Linked DNA regions of Rhinolophus ferrumequinum. The protein of the gene in region 2 interacts with the protein of the main gene of each other region in a biochemical or structural test. Links are inferred from orthologs where the notes say so. Each region holds a gene or a part of one and is shown on either strand. Other genes may lie near its edges.

Evidence for each region.
Region 1: of the proteins of MALT1 (region 2) and RELB, one has a biochemical effect on the other in vitro, tested with the Homo sapiens proteins (2 studies listed by BioGRID). The link is inferred for Rhinolophus ferrumequinum from reciprocal best matches to the Homo sapiens genes MALT1 and RELB.

Annotation. Positions count from the first base shown.
Region 1 is NC_046298.1:41,469,220-41,477,167, reverse strand, and holds the start of RELB (transcription factor RelB), read right to left. Parts: upstream 3,059-7,948; coding exon 2,755-3,058; intron 1,851-2,754; coding exon 1,803-1,850; intron 1-1,802. Other genes in the region: putative lipid scramblase CLPTM1, read right to left, coding at 7,858-7,948.
Region 2 is NC_046302.1:47,376,177-47,383,878, forward strand, and holds the start of MALT1 (mucosa-associated lymphoid tissue lymphoma translocation protein 1), read left to right. Parts: upstream 1-4,659; 5' UTR 4,660-4,880; coding exon 4,881-5,155; intron 5,156-7,702. UniProt on the Homo sapiens protein: Protease that enhances BCL10-induced activation: acts via formation of CBM complexes that channel adaptive and innate immune signaling downstream of CARD domain-containing proteins (CARD9, CARD11 and CARD14) to activate NF-kappa-B and MAP kinase p38 pathways which stimulate expression of genes encoding pro-inflammatory cytokines and chemokines.

The DNA of each region.
Region 1 (7,948 bases), on a different chromosome or scaffold from region 2:
ACCTCCCACGCAGACTTGCTGCCATCCAGGGGCAGCCAGGGTAGGCCACGCTTGAGGAGATGTGAAAGCAGAAAGCCAGCTATGTCTTTCCTGCCTCAGGGCCTTTGTACAGGTTGGTCTCTGCCAGAATGCTCTTCTTCCAGTTCTTTGCATGGCCTCCTCCTCTTCTTTCAGTTCCCTGCCCAAATGTCACCTCCTAGATAGGTCTTCCCTGACCACTGTACCCCCAGGTAGCCCCCAGAATCCCCACTCCAGTCACTTACAGTTAGGTGTCTTTGTTTTATCATTTATATGGGATGATTGGGATTTTACATTACTTTACGTTACAGTGATTCATATCTGTCTCCTATAGTAAGTCCCACAGAGTGGGGAAATGTCTGCCTCATCCCCACTGTATACCCAGGGCCCAGTATGTATCTGGCCCATCAAAATGAGAGAAATTTTCCCTCCCACTCTATTTAAGCAGGCCTCCCATCCCCACCCTGCTAAGCGATGTCACTGACCCCAAGATTTCTTTATAACCTTTATCACATTTTATAATTTAATTATTTAGTTTATTGTTTACATGTCTGCCTCCACATCTAGGTAAGGAACCCCATGAGGGCAGAGTCAAGGCTGTCTTAGTCACTGATGAGTCCCCAGCACTGCCCAGCACCAGGCCAGGTACAGAACAGATACTCAATAAATATTTATTGAATGGGTGACATCAGAAATTAACCTCAATTGAAACCAAAGATCTAGGTCTCAGGCCAGAAAAGTCTCAGCCTTGTTCCTGCCCAGAACCAGCGCTTGAGAAGTACCCGTCCCAAATACCACCTCCCACCTTTCAACACCCCCCAACTCACAGACCTGTGAGAGAACCCACAGAGTCTCCTCCACAGCCAGGCCAGCACTTCTAGGGGCCATCCCAAGATTCTACCTCCAGAGAGAAGCTCAGACGCAGCCTTCTGGGGCCACTGAGTTTTCATGTGGACTCACCCCTACCCTCCAAATCTCAGCACATTTATAAGAGAGAGGATGTTGTCATTTGGCCATGATTCTGCATGTCTTTGGGCAGCACTGAATTTTGGATGGCACAGGCTGAGGGACTGTATAACTAGTGGTTCTCAGCATTTCTTGGGAACTTGTTAGAAATGCAAACTCTCAGAACCCATCGTAGACCTACTGAATCAGAAACTCTGGAGATGGGGCCCAGCAATCTGTTTTAACACGCTCTCGAGGTGACTCTGATGCACACAAAGGTTTAAGAACCACTGTTACAGACTGCCTAATAATACTAGTTATTATTATTGTATTATATTATTATTATACCGCTAACAGTTAACATTTATTGAGCCTTTGCTGTGTGCCAGACACTGCTTTGAAAATTTACCTGTATCAGCTCACTGAATCCTCTGGATCCCCTAAAAGGGAGGTACTGATATTATGCCCATCTTACAGATGAGGAACACTGAAGCCCAGAGAGGGGAAATGACTTGTAGGCATTCACACAGTGAGGGGGAAGGGGTGGCACCAGAATGTAAATCCCAGCCCCAAAGCCGGAGATGGAGATTTTTACTACCACGGTGAATCTCTATAGAGGACTCCCCTTAGAATGTGAATAGGTGCTTAGTTTTATCCAGCGCCTAATTACCTGGGAGGTAGGGGCATCTGGAACCCCCATCTCAACCAGCAGGGAGGGACACCGTCAAGGAAGCTCAGGTGGATCTCGGTGAAACCCCCAGACAGAGGCCTGTCCAATGGAGTCCCCCCTTCCCCGTCCTGAGTGTGCAGGTGGGCAGGAACTGTGGAGGGCTGCTCACCTGTGGTCCTGGAAACGGCCAGCGAGAGCGAAGACAGGTCCGCGGACCCTGCAGGGAGGGAGGCAAGTCTCAGGAGATGATGAGGATCCCACAGAATCTCTCAACCCTACCCCCTTCCTCTCCTGGCACTGACCCTTTGTCGCCCAAAGAGTCTGTCCTTGCCTCCTTCCCTAACTCGTGGACTGGTCCCCTTGTTTTTGTCACTCACCCCACCCTTCATCACACTCAGGCCCCGCTCCTTCTTTACCTAAAGGTCGGGTCCGGAGAAGCCCTTCTCAACTTGTTAGGAAAGCCACCGTCCCCTTCATTCTTTTGGGGTCAGACCCTACCCCTTCACTTTTTCAGTGTCAAGCCTGTCCCTTTCTCCTCTCAGACCACTACTCTCCGAGGCAAACCCCACCCCCTCTTTCTTCTCTGAGCCAGACCCCGCCCTTCTTCCAGAACAGGCCCTCCCTCTTCTCTCCACCAGAGTCAGGCCCCGCCCCTTCTCTCTTTAGGAGTCTGCCCTCGCCCCCTACTTTCGCCCAGGCCCTGCCCCTTACTCTGAGTAGGAAACTGCTTCCTTCTTGGAGTCAGGCCCCGCCCCTCATGTGAGCCAAGCCCCTCCTTTTTCGCCCTCTCAGAGTCTGGCCGGGTCCCTACCCCTCAGGAGCAGCTCCCAGCCCCACCCCTCCCGGAGTCGGGCCCCGCCCCCTTCTTTGCCTCAGGGTCAGGCCCCGCCCCCTCCTCACTCTGTAGTGGGACGCCTCTCTCTTACCTTGCACCGGACCCCGTCACCATCCTCTGCCTCCTTCCTTCCCTCTAATACAGTGTCCCCCAAACCCTCACACTCTCCCCGCAAAACCCCTAGACTCCTGTAGGAACCCCCAGATTAGTCCGGGTCCCCCAGAACCCTCGCATCTCCAGTCCCGCCACAGACTCCTCTCCTGAACTCCAGCCTGGCCCCGCTTACCCAAGGCCCCCAGCTCCGGCGCAGTGGACGGTCTGGCGGCGCGGCGACTCGGCATGGCTCGACCAGTGGGGACGGACGGCCCAGAGGCCGGCCCAGACCAAAACACACACGAGGGCAGGCCGGTGGCCAGGCGGCACAGTCCGGCGGACGATCGCGGGTCGGGCGACCGGCGCAGGGGCTGGGGCCGCAAGCCGGGCAGGACGCGCGGCGCCCGGGGCTGCGGGGGGCCGCGGGCCGGGCCGGGCGAGCGGCGGGCGGGGGCGGGGCGGCGGAATTCCCCGGCGCCGCGGGCCTGCGGGCTCATTGGCTTGCACCCTGTCGTGACGTCACGCAAGGGGGAACGGGAAAACCCCCACGCGTCACGTGATTGCGGGGGCGGGGCCGGCCGGGAAGAGGAGGCTGGGCTCTCGGGAGGGGCCTGCGCTGCTGGCCATAGAGCTCTGGCGGAGACAACTAAGGCTTGCTTAGGGCCACTGACGCCCACCCATGGATCAAGTCGGGGAAACTGAGGCCCGCCCCCCAAGTCTGCCAGCGGAACTTGAACCTGTTGTTTCTCTGGTTGGAAGGGAAGCTTTGGATCAGAGGTTGCCAGGTCTCTACAACTGTCATTGATAATAATGATCTTTACGAAGCCTCCATGGTTTCTCTACGCCTCGTTTTCAACTGAAAATTGGGAGTGAAGATACTTAAACGTTTAAAGCTAGACTGTTAGCTCTGGGATATGTCTGTTTTGTTCCTTGCTGTATCCCCTGCTCCTGGCACAGCGCCTGCAGAGTAGGTTCCCAGTAAATGTTTACTGAATGAATGGATGGATGTGTTATTCCTCCCCAACAGCCCCCCCTTCAAGTTTTCTAATAGCCCAGAGCATTTGAAGATCCAAGGCTCAGCAACTGAGTCTGGGAATGGTAACAGTGTAGCCCCAAAGTACGTACTGAGCTGTGTGCCTGACCCCTGGGCAAAGAGTTTACCTGGGAGCCTCACAGATGCTTCAGACCTTGCGGTAACATCAGAAGCACGTGATAGAATTAGGAGTCTTTCAGAGAGGAGACCGAAGCTCAAGAAGGGGCAGCCATTTGGTTAGATCATATTTCTAAAGCCTTCCACCCTTGAGAATGAGTGATCATTAGGTTCCAACTTGGATGTGAGGCACCCTCACATCACAGAGTGCTATGTCTGCTCATGTGTAAAATTTGAGCATTCCTCTTCTCTCCATGGCCCACACAGACTCATTGATTCATTGGACGTACACTTTACTGAGTACTTGCTCTTTGCCAGAGACTGCACTGGGCACTGGGGCACAGCACTCACCAAGCCAGGCCTGGTACCTCCTCCTGGGAGGCAGAATAGTGTACAGCAGCAGTTCTGAAAGTGTGGCCCCCCAGCCCTTCAGGTGATGTGGATATAAGCTCAAGTTGGAGAACTACTGCTAGACAACAAAATACCAAGCAAATGTTTTAAAAACTGCAAAGGGCCAGATAGCAAATATGTTGTTATGCTTAGGCTTTGAGGACCAGATGGTCTCAGTGCTCAACTCTGCCATAGCACAAAAACAGCCAGACAGTACAGAAACAATGAGCGTGGCTGTGTTCCTATGAAATATTAGATATTGACATTTGAATTTTGTGTAATTTTCACATGAAATGTTCTTGAGCTTTTAGCCACTTAAAAATGTAAAAATTATACAAAAGCTGGAAAAGACTGGATTTTGCCTGCAAGCTGTAGTCTGCATATGACAAGAGCATTGCAAGAGGTTATGATTGAGGGTCCAGAATCAGACTGCCTGGGTTCAAATCCTAGGTCTCCCATTTAACAGCTGTGTGACCTCGGGCAATTGACTTTATCACTCTAAGCCTAATCTATAAAATGGGTCTAATAATAGGGTGGTTGTGAGGATTATGCAAGATACTAATACTACTTGGCATTTGTATATAGCTCTTATATGTGCTGGGCACTGTTCTAAGCACTTTGTGTTCTGAATACTTGAGTCACATTACTTTGGACAGACTACTTGCTTTTTTAGGTTTGTTTTCTCATCTGCTCTTGTGAACATTTGATTTAGAGTTATTACTACACACAGTATAATGGTGCCAAGCATTATTCCAAAAGGTTGGGACACAGCAAGGGACCTAACAGACAAAAGCTCCTGCCATCGTGGCCCTGAAATCCAAGTGGGGGAGACAGATGGAAAACAGATACGCAAATACATGTCTGGGGGTGGTGGCAGTACTACAGAAAATAAGGCAGGATATATGGATTGAAGTTGGAGGGTTAGGAAGCTGAGGGAGGGTCCGGCATGACATTTGAGCAGAGAGCTGAAAGGGGAAGGATCCATGTGGATATCTAGGGAAGATTATTCAAGACACAGGGAACAGCAAGTACAAAGGCCCTAAGTTGGGAACATGCATGGCATATTCAATGAACAGCAAGCAGGCTGGAAGTGGAGAGACTGCTGGGGAAATAGTGGAGATGAGGGTAGAGCAATGGCCTGTAAGGTGATGGGAACATCAGTATTAAATTTAATGGATGACGCAAACCACGTACAGCACTTGCACTAGAACTTGGCTCATAAGGAGTGTAGATTAGTGGCTATTATAGGACCAGGAGCCCACCTGACTACCCTCTGCCCTTTGCCAACGTCAGGCCTCCCAACTGTTTGTTGGGTGAATAAGCAAAAGGATGTGTCAGAAATCCTCAGCGCTCAGGATTTCTACTGGGCTCTGAGCTCCTTGAGGGCAGGCCTGGGGCTGTCTTGGTCCCTGCTGTATACATAGAACCCCCCACCCCGAGCTTAGGGCAACGTCCAGGGGAGGGGCTCGGAACCATTTGTTGACTGACTGCATGTCAGTCTCTCCACCAGGGTCAATGTGGGCCCCATCAAGGTCCACACTTCTAGATGTGTGTGTGTGTGTGTGTGTGTCTGTGCAAATATACACACACTCAGCAAACATTCCCGGAGCACCTCCACTGTGCCCAGGACACAGCAGTGACCAAGACAGCCCTAGCTCTGTCTTCATGGGACTCAGTCCCCATGTGTGGAATGACCTGTCCCATAGTAAGCAGGGCTGGGATGTGGAGCCTGGGAAGCTGGGGAGGCTCAGAGGGCGTGGTCAGGGAGGGCTTCCTGCAGGAGACATCGGAGCCGCAACCTGAAAGATGCAGAGAGTAAGGTAGAGTTATGTGCCTTACCTGTGTCCCCAGGTAAGGGAAGAGCATAGTCTAGAGCCAGGAGGTAAGAGATCACAGCAAGTTAAAACAAGGGAGATGAGGTTCTAGAGCTCAAGAAGACCCCTCTCCTCAAGGTCTTGCTCATCAGTTAGGAGCCTGTGCTCTTCTCCTAAGGGGAGCCATGGTAGGTTCTGAGCAGGGGACAGGTAGGGTCAGGTTTGTGCTTTAGAAAATTCTCTCTGGCTGCTGGATGGAGAGTGAATGAAAGGCGCAGGACTGGGAGAGGACACTAGGGAGGAGGCTGGGTGGGGATCCTGCAGGGGCGAGTTGGAGCCTGGACCAGGTGGTCTCAGTGGAAGTGAAGAGGTGAGACTCCTGAGTGACTTTGGGGTACAGCTGATGGGCTTTGCAAAGGCTGTGGGAGGAGCCAGGGGAGATGAGGCCAGTGAGGAGGTGGCCGGAGAGCCCACACGCCCGGGCCTCAGCAGAGCAGCCCTGTTGGGAGCCTGGGTTTCTCCTAGGGCACTGGGAGCCATGGAATAGTACAGAACGGGAGGGACTGGAGCGGGCTGTGGCTCCCTCAGCGGAGGAGGAGCCTGTGCATGTGTACGTGATTGTGTGCACGTGCATGTGTGTACACACGTGGGCCTGTGCAGGCACCATCTCCCGGGACCTCCTGGATTCCCTGCCTGGCTCTGCAGGGCGCGGTGGGAGACAGGTGGAACCCGAGGGAGGCTGCTGTGGTCCTCAGCCACGGGCCTCCTCTCACCACCATGTTAAGACCACCTTCCCCAGAAGTAAATCAGGGAATGTGGGCTCAACGCCCTTGGAACGCAGGGACGCCCAGAGGCCTCAGTTTCCTCACCTATAAAGTGGGTGAACAGCCCCAGCACCCGGTTTCGGGAAGACATGTGCATGACCCACTAAGAGCTTGGCTGGGTCCTCGGTGCTGGCAGCCCTGGGGATGCGAGTGATACCCCAACAGCTCCGGGTGCTACGGCTGAGCAGCACTCTGAGCGAGGATTTCCCCTGTACCCCTGCTATGACCCTGGGAGGTGAGCCCATAAGCCCAGAGAAGGGAAGTCAGGCATCCAGGGTCCCAGGACCACTGAATAAAGCCTGTATCGGGCAGGGGGTGTCTGCTCACAAGGCAGGTCTGCGCTCCTGCCCTGCCTGGCGGCATGAGGCCCGGAGAGAATCACTGGGCAGAGGCGAGGCGCCAAGCCTCAGCTGGCCAGATACAGCCTTGTGGGTAAGAGCATAGGTGCAGCGGGGTCATGGCAAGCAGCTTCCCCATCTGTGAAACGGGGACAGTTATAAAAGCCCCCTCAGAGGGCTGCTGGGAGGGGGAGAAGGGTGAAAAAGGGGCATGGCACAGAGGGTGACTGTCCCCACCTCACTGGGTCCTGCAAACTGCAGGTCTCCCTCCCAGACCTGGGAGAACCACTCATACCTGCTCTCCAAGGTGACAGAGGAAGGAAGGCTAGAGGGGGGGTTGTCGAGTTTAAGTTAAACACCCACATTTATTAAATCCAGACTGTGTTAAAGGGCGGCGGTCTGGGAGGAGGGGGATGGTCGCGGGACGAGGGACAAGATGATGGATGGCCATGGGCATCCCAGAGGGGCCCTGGCACCTCCCCCGCCTGGCCCACTCCTCGGCAGCACTGTGTGGGCTTCACCATGATTCCCAGTGGTGCTGGGCTGGCGGGGCAAGATGGCTAGAAACACAGGAACAGACAGACGGTGCCTCCACAAACCACGTGCTCTGGCCTGCCCCAGCCCCTACACCACGCGCTGGGCCCTGGTCCAAGGGGGGCCCCCTGCCGCCCCAGCACGATCTGTCCAGGGGAAGGGCGACAGGGAAGGGAGGCGAGGGGCCCGGGGCAGTGGGGGCTGTGGTCACCAGGGGCCGGAGTGGACGAGCAGGACCAGGAACGGTTAATCCCTTTTCTTGTCCTCTGCTGGCTTTGGAGGGACTTCCTGGGGCTCGGTGGTAGCAGAGCTGGCCTCTTGGGTGGGCTTGGCAGGC
Region 2 (7,702 bases):
CGCTAAGCACTGTAAGGAAAATTGACAATGACTAAAAAGTAAAAGGTATCTTAACTAGCTCATCTATCTGGGTTAATCTATGACTTTCATTGTCTTTGATTTAGCTATTTGCAACTCTGATAGAAGTTGCAGAAAACTGATGGCAATGCAAACCATTCATAATTATAAGTAAATAAATTATTTCAGGTGGAGGATCAACTGCCTCCCTTCCTCCACTGTGGAAGAAGTCAGTTTTGCAGTTATTAAGCTAATTCATTTCAGCATCCTCCTGGGCTTACATATTTATCTTGATCTTTGGATTCTCCTTTGAAGTGGTTGTAACATCTTTCTGGTTCCCTTGTTCACTAATGTGTTAAATAAAATCTTTGACACGTGTTCATTGTACATTTGTTGAGAGCCATGATTTTAACTTTCTTTAAAAAAAAACAAAAACTATCCTATCCAAAATCCATAACACCATCAACACCAAATGCTGGCCTAGTTGTGGAGCAACAGAAATTCTCATTGTTGGTGGGAATGCAAAAGGGTACAGCCACTTTGGGAAACAGTTTGGCAGTTTCTTATAAAACTAAATATACTCTTACCATGCAATCCAGCAATTTTGCTCCTTGGTATTTACCCAAAGGAGTTGAAAACATGCCCACACAAAAACCTGCACATGGATGTTTATAGCACCTTTACTCACAGTTGTCAAAATTCATAAGCAACCAAGATGTCCGTCAATAGATGATGGATAAATAAACTGTGGTACATCCAGACAATGGGATATTATTCCATGCTAAAAAGAAATGAGCTATCAAGTCATGAAAAGACATGGAATAACCTTAAATGTTTACTACTAAGTGAAAGAAGCCAATCAGAAAAGGCTGTATGATTCCAACTGTATGACATTGTGAAAAAGACAAAAATATGGAGACAGTAAAAACACCATTGGTTGCAAAGGGTTGGGAGGGTGGAAGGATGAATAGAAGGGGCACAGAGAATTTTTAGGGCAGTAAAGATACTATGTATGATACCATAATGCGGATACATTGCCATTCAATATATATTTGTCTAAACCCATAGAAAGCACACCACCACAAGGGAACTATGTAAACTGTGGCCTTTGGGTGATTAACTATGGCCTTTGGGTGATTAAGATGTATCAATGTAGGTTCATTCATTGTAACAAATATACCATCTGGTGGGGGACGCTAAAAGAAGAGGCTATGAGGGCAGAAGGTATATGGAAAATCTCTGTACCTTCCCCTAATTTTGCTGTGAACCTAAAACTGCTCTTAAAAAAAAAAAAAAAAAAAGGAGCCTTAACAAAAACAAAAAATTTAAAACCATCCTTTAACAGTATTTGGCATAGAACTTGGCACAAGGTAGACATGCAATAAATATTTGTTGATGATTGAATTAATTAATTAATTGATTAATGGATTTAAACAAGTACATAAGTTCTTGCCACGGATGATTCATTGTGAAGGAAGGATGTGAAATACTAGTGTGATGCTTAGGTACTATTCCAAAGATGAAATCAAAATGGGAAAGTCCCCCTAATCCTTTGGGAGATGCCAGCAAGAAGGGGCTGTAAGGGATGTGGAGATCCTGTGTCTGAGAGAGGACGGAGACGCCTCCACACACAGGCTGTGTCAGAGGCCATGAAGGCTGCTGGTGTGGAATCATGGTAGGAAATAAGCAACGCCATTTAAATCAAGACTCCTGTTTCCTTTCCCTCTGCTGTAGACAGAGCCCAAGACCTGCAGGTTTTCTCCTGCACTGGGCCATTGAAAACCTATCCAGGGGCCGGCCTGGTGGCTCAGACGGTTGGAGCTCCGTGCTCTTAACTCCGAAGGCTGCTGGTTCTATTCCCATATGGGCCCTTAGGCTCTCAACCACAAGGTTGCCGGTTCAATTCCTCGAGTCCCACAAGGGATGGTGGGCTCTGCCCCCTGCAACTAAGATTAACATGGCACCTTAAGCTGAACTGCCTCCTGGATGGCTTAGTTGGTTGGAGCGTGGGGCTCTCAACCACAAGGTTGCCAGTTCGATTCCTCAAGTCCCTCAAGGGATGGTGGGCGCCCCTTGCAACTAGCAACGGCAACTGGACCTGGAGCTGAGCTGCACCCTCCACAACTAAGATTGAAAGGACAACAGCTTGATTGAAAAAAGTCCTGGAAGTACACACTGTTCCCCAATAAAGTCCTGCTCCCCTTCTCCAATAAAATCTTAAAAAAAAAAAAAAAAAACCTATCCAGATATAAAATAATATGTCACTCTGGCATTTTTAGTTAGAGTACTATCTATAGAGAGATTGGGTGAAGGGAAAAAAATCTATGAGTCAGTTTCAAGGCTTGTGTTTTGAAGATTACATCAATGGATTTCCATAGAATGAAACCACAGCTTCCTGCCAATTGTCTGGATTCACAAAGATCTATGTCACTTTTAAATAATGAGGAAGAACTCCCAAGTATATTATCTATAGACATGCATGAACATTTTTTTTTTTTTAAGGAGGGCGCAGCTCACAGTGGCCCATGCAGGGATTGAAGCGGCAACCTTGGTGTTATCAGCACCACACTCTAACCACCTGAGCTAACCGGCTATCCCCTTGACATGCATGAACTTTTAAGGGGCATTTAAAAGCCAGCTCTCCACTCTGTTTTTCTCCCATCTTTATATAAATGGTTGATATATAGAAAAGGAAGCTATATTGCTGTTTATTATATATGTGTGTGTAATTTAAGTCTCACAACAATCCTTTGAAGCAGGTACTATTATATCTTCCGCTTTTTACAGATGTGGAAATTGAAGCTGAGAGGTTAAATAACTTACTTAAAGTCATACCACTAATAAGTGGCTGCATCAATATTCAAATTCTGGGCAAATTCTAAAGATCACATTCTTGCTACCATACTATTATGCCCCATAGAGAACCACAGAAGTGAAATTGCATAATAAAAATATTAACATTTGGTTGGGAGGGGAAAAAGACTAGTCATAAAAGGTAATGTCAGCCGAAGGTAGAGGCTGGAGTGCGGTGAATGCATAGGTTATAAAATTGCTAGGTGGAAAAAAGGATCTGGCCTAGAATGAGATAAGAAAGGCGCTTGTCTTAGGTGTCTTGGAGTCGATAGGAGAAGCAAGGGAGGAGGTGGGACGCCCCTGATCAAATTGGGAAGGATACTCACAGGGTACATAGGTACCCACTTTAACCCGTAGGCACATACGAGAAGCTATATCAGCAACACCTTGCATATGGTAGACTTAGAAAAAGGAAGTCTGTTGAATCTCAATTTTAAAAGACTAGAAACTAGACTCATAAACTAGACCAATAAAGACTGGAAGACTTGATTTCCATAATTGGTCCATGTAGTTAATAGACTCAAAATATTTGTTCAATGATTGAGGACAAAACAGAAAGGCACTGGAAGTGACTGGGAAAAATTTACCAAGGCAAACAGTATGAAAGAAGCTTTTGCATTTGCAAGGATAATAGCTATCGGTTATTATTCACTATGTATGAGCCAAGCAGAATACGTGCTTAATATACATCAACTCCTTTAAATCTGGTAACCACTCTATATATACTATATTTTCAGTCCCATTTTAACAGATGAGACAGAGAATTAAGTCACTTATTCAAGGTCATAAAACTAGAATCGAGCAGCTTTTTCTGGACCCAAAGGTTCTGCAGTTCGCCATTATACTGCATTCTGAACTCCGAATTTACACTGTACACCAATGGCTTGTACTAGAATGTGGTGGAGACTGTATGGGGCATCTACCTCCCCAAAAGTAGAAAATTTGGGTGTCCAAATTATTGCTACCAAAAATCCTGCTGTCCTGTGGGATGAAAAAGCTGATGCACGAGAAATTGGGCCAGGAAGCCTTGTGTCTGGGTAATACCTGGCTGGTCACACTTTGTTAAATTGCTTGCTTTTGTCCCAAACGACCCTATAGTTTTCAATGGGACAACGACCTTGAATATTGCTAAGCTTGGGAAAACGAGCTTAGGTGACGTCTGCATTTATCTCATCTATTCTGGACCCTTCCAGGGGAGGATATTCTCTCTAAGGTTGCCTGCTTTGATTTATGAAGATTGTGGGTGGCAGTCTGACTTGGAGGAAACCAGGCGATTCCTGCTAAAAACAATCACTTCCAACATCTCATTCGTTTTAAATAGGCCACAGCCTAGCTAACAAAAAAAAAAAAAAAAGGCATAAATTTCGGGCAACTTCCATTAAGTATCCGGATGCCTGGCATCACTTCTCTTCACAACGCACACACACCAATCCCTGAAACCAGGAAGCCTCCGCTGAGGTTGCCCAATGCGGGCGCTGGTGGCGTCGCCCTGCACACTGAGTCAGCGGAGCGCGCCCCGGGAGCAAGCGGCCAGGAACTGGAGAGCTGCGTGCTCCCGTGTTTGGCGTGAGGCAATCCTCCTCCCACGGTCTCGGGAAGCCCCGACGCCACAGGCTTCCTCGCCGTAGTGGAGCCGCCTCGGCGTAGTTCCTCCGCGGCTTCCTCCTACAGCGGCAACCACCCAACCCTTCCTGCTCCGCCAGGACTCCACCTCCCCAGGTTTGAAGCGCGCGCCTCACGGAGCGCGGAGCCGGCAGAGAGGGCCAGGGAGGCGCGCGGCTTGTGCGCACGCGCGCAGTGGGCGGCCCCGCCCCCGCCTCCAGGCCCCGCCTCCTCGGGGCGGCTGGGGCGGCTGGCGCGGCCGGTCTGCCCGGCTCCTCTTTGCAAACCTGTCTCCCGCGGGGCGGGGAGCGGAGCTTCCTCATCCGAGTGCGGTGCAGCGCCGCCGAATTAGTCCTTCCGCCCCCGCCGCCGCGGTGCCCAGGCGAGCGAGGGGGCGAGCGGAAGGTGCGCTGGAGCCGAGACCCGCGATGTGGCCCGCGGGAGCAGCGGCAGTGGCGGGGTCGCCGGCGCGGGACATGTCGCGGTGCGTGGATCTGCTGCAGGCCCTGGCGCCCCTGGCCTCGCAGCCGCCTCCGGCCGCACCCTCGGGGCCGCCGCTCCCAGCTCCGGCCAGCGCGACCCTCAACCGCCTTCCGGAGCCGCTGCTGCGGAGGCTCAGCGGGGTCTTGGACCGAGCGCCCGAGGGCCGCGGTTGGAGGAGGCTGGCGGAGTTGGCCGGGAGTCGGGGGCGCCTCCGGCTGAGGTGAGGCGCCGGGGGGGTGGGGGGGGGGGCGGTGCTCAGGGGTGGGGTCACGTGGGGTGGACTTGGGCTCGGGGCGCGAGGGCAGTGTGGGGGGGCACCCTGGTGGGAGGGTGGACCCTGATGCTGGAGAGCATCGGGGCCATGCGAGACGGTGCAAGGGCCGCTGATGTGGAAGGAGGAAAGGACGTGGGGACAACTCCAGTCATCTTCCAGAAAGAGAGAGCCTTCCCCCAGCAAAGCCCTGGGAATATTGGAGCTTGGATATTGAACCCCGGTGTTCACACCCTTTTCCGACGCTCCCCCCCGGGAGCTGACAGAGAAAAGTCGAGGTTGACCTAGGAGTATATTGAGAGGAGGAAGGCTGTCAGGAGAGCGTTGTGACAGGCAGTGACTCGGAAGGACTTCAAATGCAAACTAGCGGGACACGGGCACAGACCTGGAAGGCCTGAGGAAGGTTAGCGAGAAGTGCATGCAGGTAAAGAGGTAATGGAAGAGTTTGGGGTGCAGGAGTTCATGATGGTTTTTATGTAGGGAGAGGGGGATGGTGGAAAAAACAAACTGAACTCTCCATCTTCCTCCATCAAACCTACTTACCAAGTCCTTTTCACGACTTCGCTATGAACATGTATAAGTAAAACTATTTTCCTGCTACCAGCCTTGGAACCGCTGTGCTAGTGGTTCTTGAACTTTTGGTCCCTGGACTCCTTTAAACTCTTAATTATGAAAACCCCAGAGCGTTTTTAATGTGGGTTCTATGTATTCCATACATATAATATATACTGATATTTCCCATGTTAGAAATTAAAACTAAGAAATTTCTAAAATATTAACTTCTTGAAAAAGAATAACCCATTACATGTTAACAGAAACTACATGTGGAAAAACAAACTTTTCCAAAACAAATAGTTTAGAAAACGCACTGTTTCACATTTTGAAAATCTCTTTAATGTCTTGGCCTAACTACGGAGGGCTGGCTGCGTTTATGTGCCTCTGCATTCAGTGTGTTGCACTCTCACAGATTATGTAATGCCAGACACTCCAATGTACACTCCTGGCAGAGTGAATGAGAAAGATAAATGACATCTTAGTATGAAAAATCATTTTGACCTTCTGGGTCCTGTGAAAGGGTCTCAGGACCTGCATGAGGGTTTCCCAGATCACACTTGAACCATTACTCTATATCATTGGCATGATTTTGGTCTGCCTTTGAACCCTTTAGCAGTTCTTTTAACTTCTCATGTGACTAAGCTTTGTCTTGTACTGTAATTATTCATATACTTCTTTATAAACCTGTTGCGAACAGGAACCATAGCTTAAGAGTGTATCATGCATAGAAGTTATATTACACACTCTATAAATACTTTTGAATTGAGAGGGGAGACATTCACTCAAAGTTATAGTTATTGAGTGCCTATTATTTGCTAGAAGTTCCAGAAGATAAAAAGAAGACAGATATTTAGTTCTTATTCATAAAGGCTAACTCGTAATGAACTGTCATTCTGGAACAGTCACAAATAACATGTTAAGTGCTATGTTGGGTGTGAATGATAGTAACAAATGTTTATCATTTATTAAGCACTTAGAATAGACCAGTGTACTGTTTGCATGGATTATCTACTTGAACCCTCACAACAACCTTCAGTTTCAGAGTTTGGGGTTAAACCAGAATCTGGGAGTATTTGGCCACACAGAGGAGTAACAATAGAGGATGGGATCAAGAAGTTGTAAACTGGCAAAGATGAGCAGACAAATGGTATAATTTTTTTCTGTTCTAGGAAATTGTCCTTTTGGCTACGGAAAGAGAATCCAAAATACTATTATTCTAGGTCCATAGATTTCTGAATTTCTAGACTTACAATAATGTGAAAAGTTGTTTTCTTTGGGGGTCAGACCACCAGATCTGTGATTAGTTAACTGGTGCTATTAACTAGTTCTGTAGTTACTGAAGGCTCTGGCCTTTCCTAAACAGGGAAGGGCCTGGTAGCAAGGGCTCCTATTTGTGATGAGAGAAGAAAGTAAGGCCCTGCCACTGAAGAAGCATGGCTGATGGAATCTAAGAGTAGTGGATACCCCAAGCCTTCAGTGAGGTTTTGTTAAAGGCTGTAGAACTGTGTTAGCTTTCTTTGGGGGAACTAACAGAAAATTCTGAACTCACATTTCTAGTGAAGCTAGTATAGACAGAAGGGCAGTTGCCTACCAAGAAGTGACAAGCAACAGAAGGCGTGCATTTGTGGAATCTGGGAATTCCAGCGTGGGAAGTCTGATAAGAGAGGTGGAGTTTCACCAGTCTGCTAGGATGCTGAGGGTTATAGTTCATAGTAGGTTAGTTGTGGTGAGAAGAGCCGGGGCACCCTGAAGGTTGAAGAATTGGGGGACGTGAAGCTCATATACCTGTTGAAATCGGGATTAAACTGACATAACAAAAGGTTAGCACTGGGAACTTGGGGGCTAGAGAGGGACAAAGGAGGGGGCAAGGAAAGCTGGTGATGCTTATTCTGTTTAAGACAAAAAGTTATTTTAACGTAATTTCATGCTAATAGCAGAAGA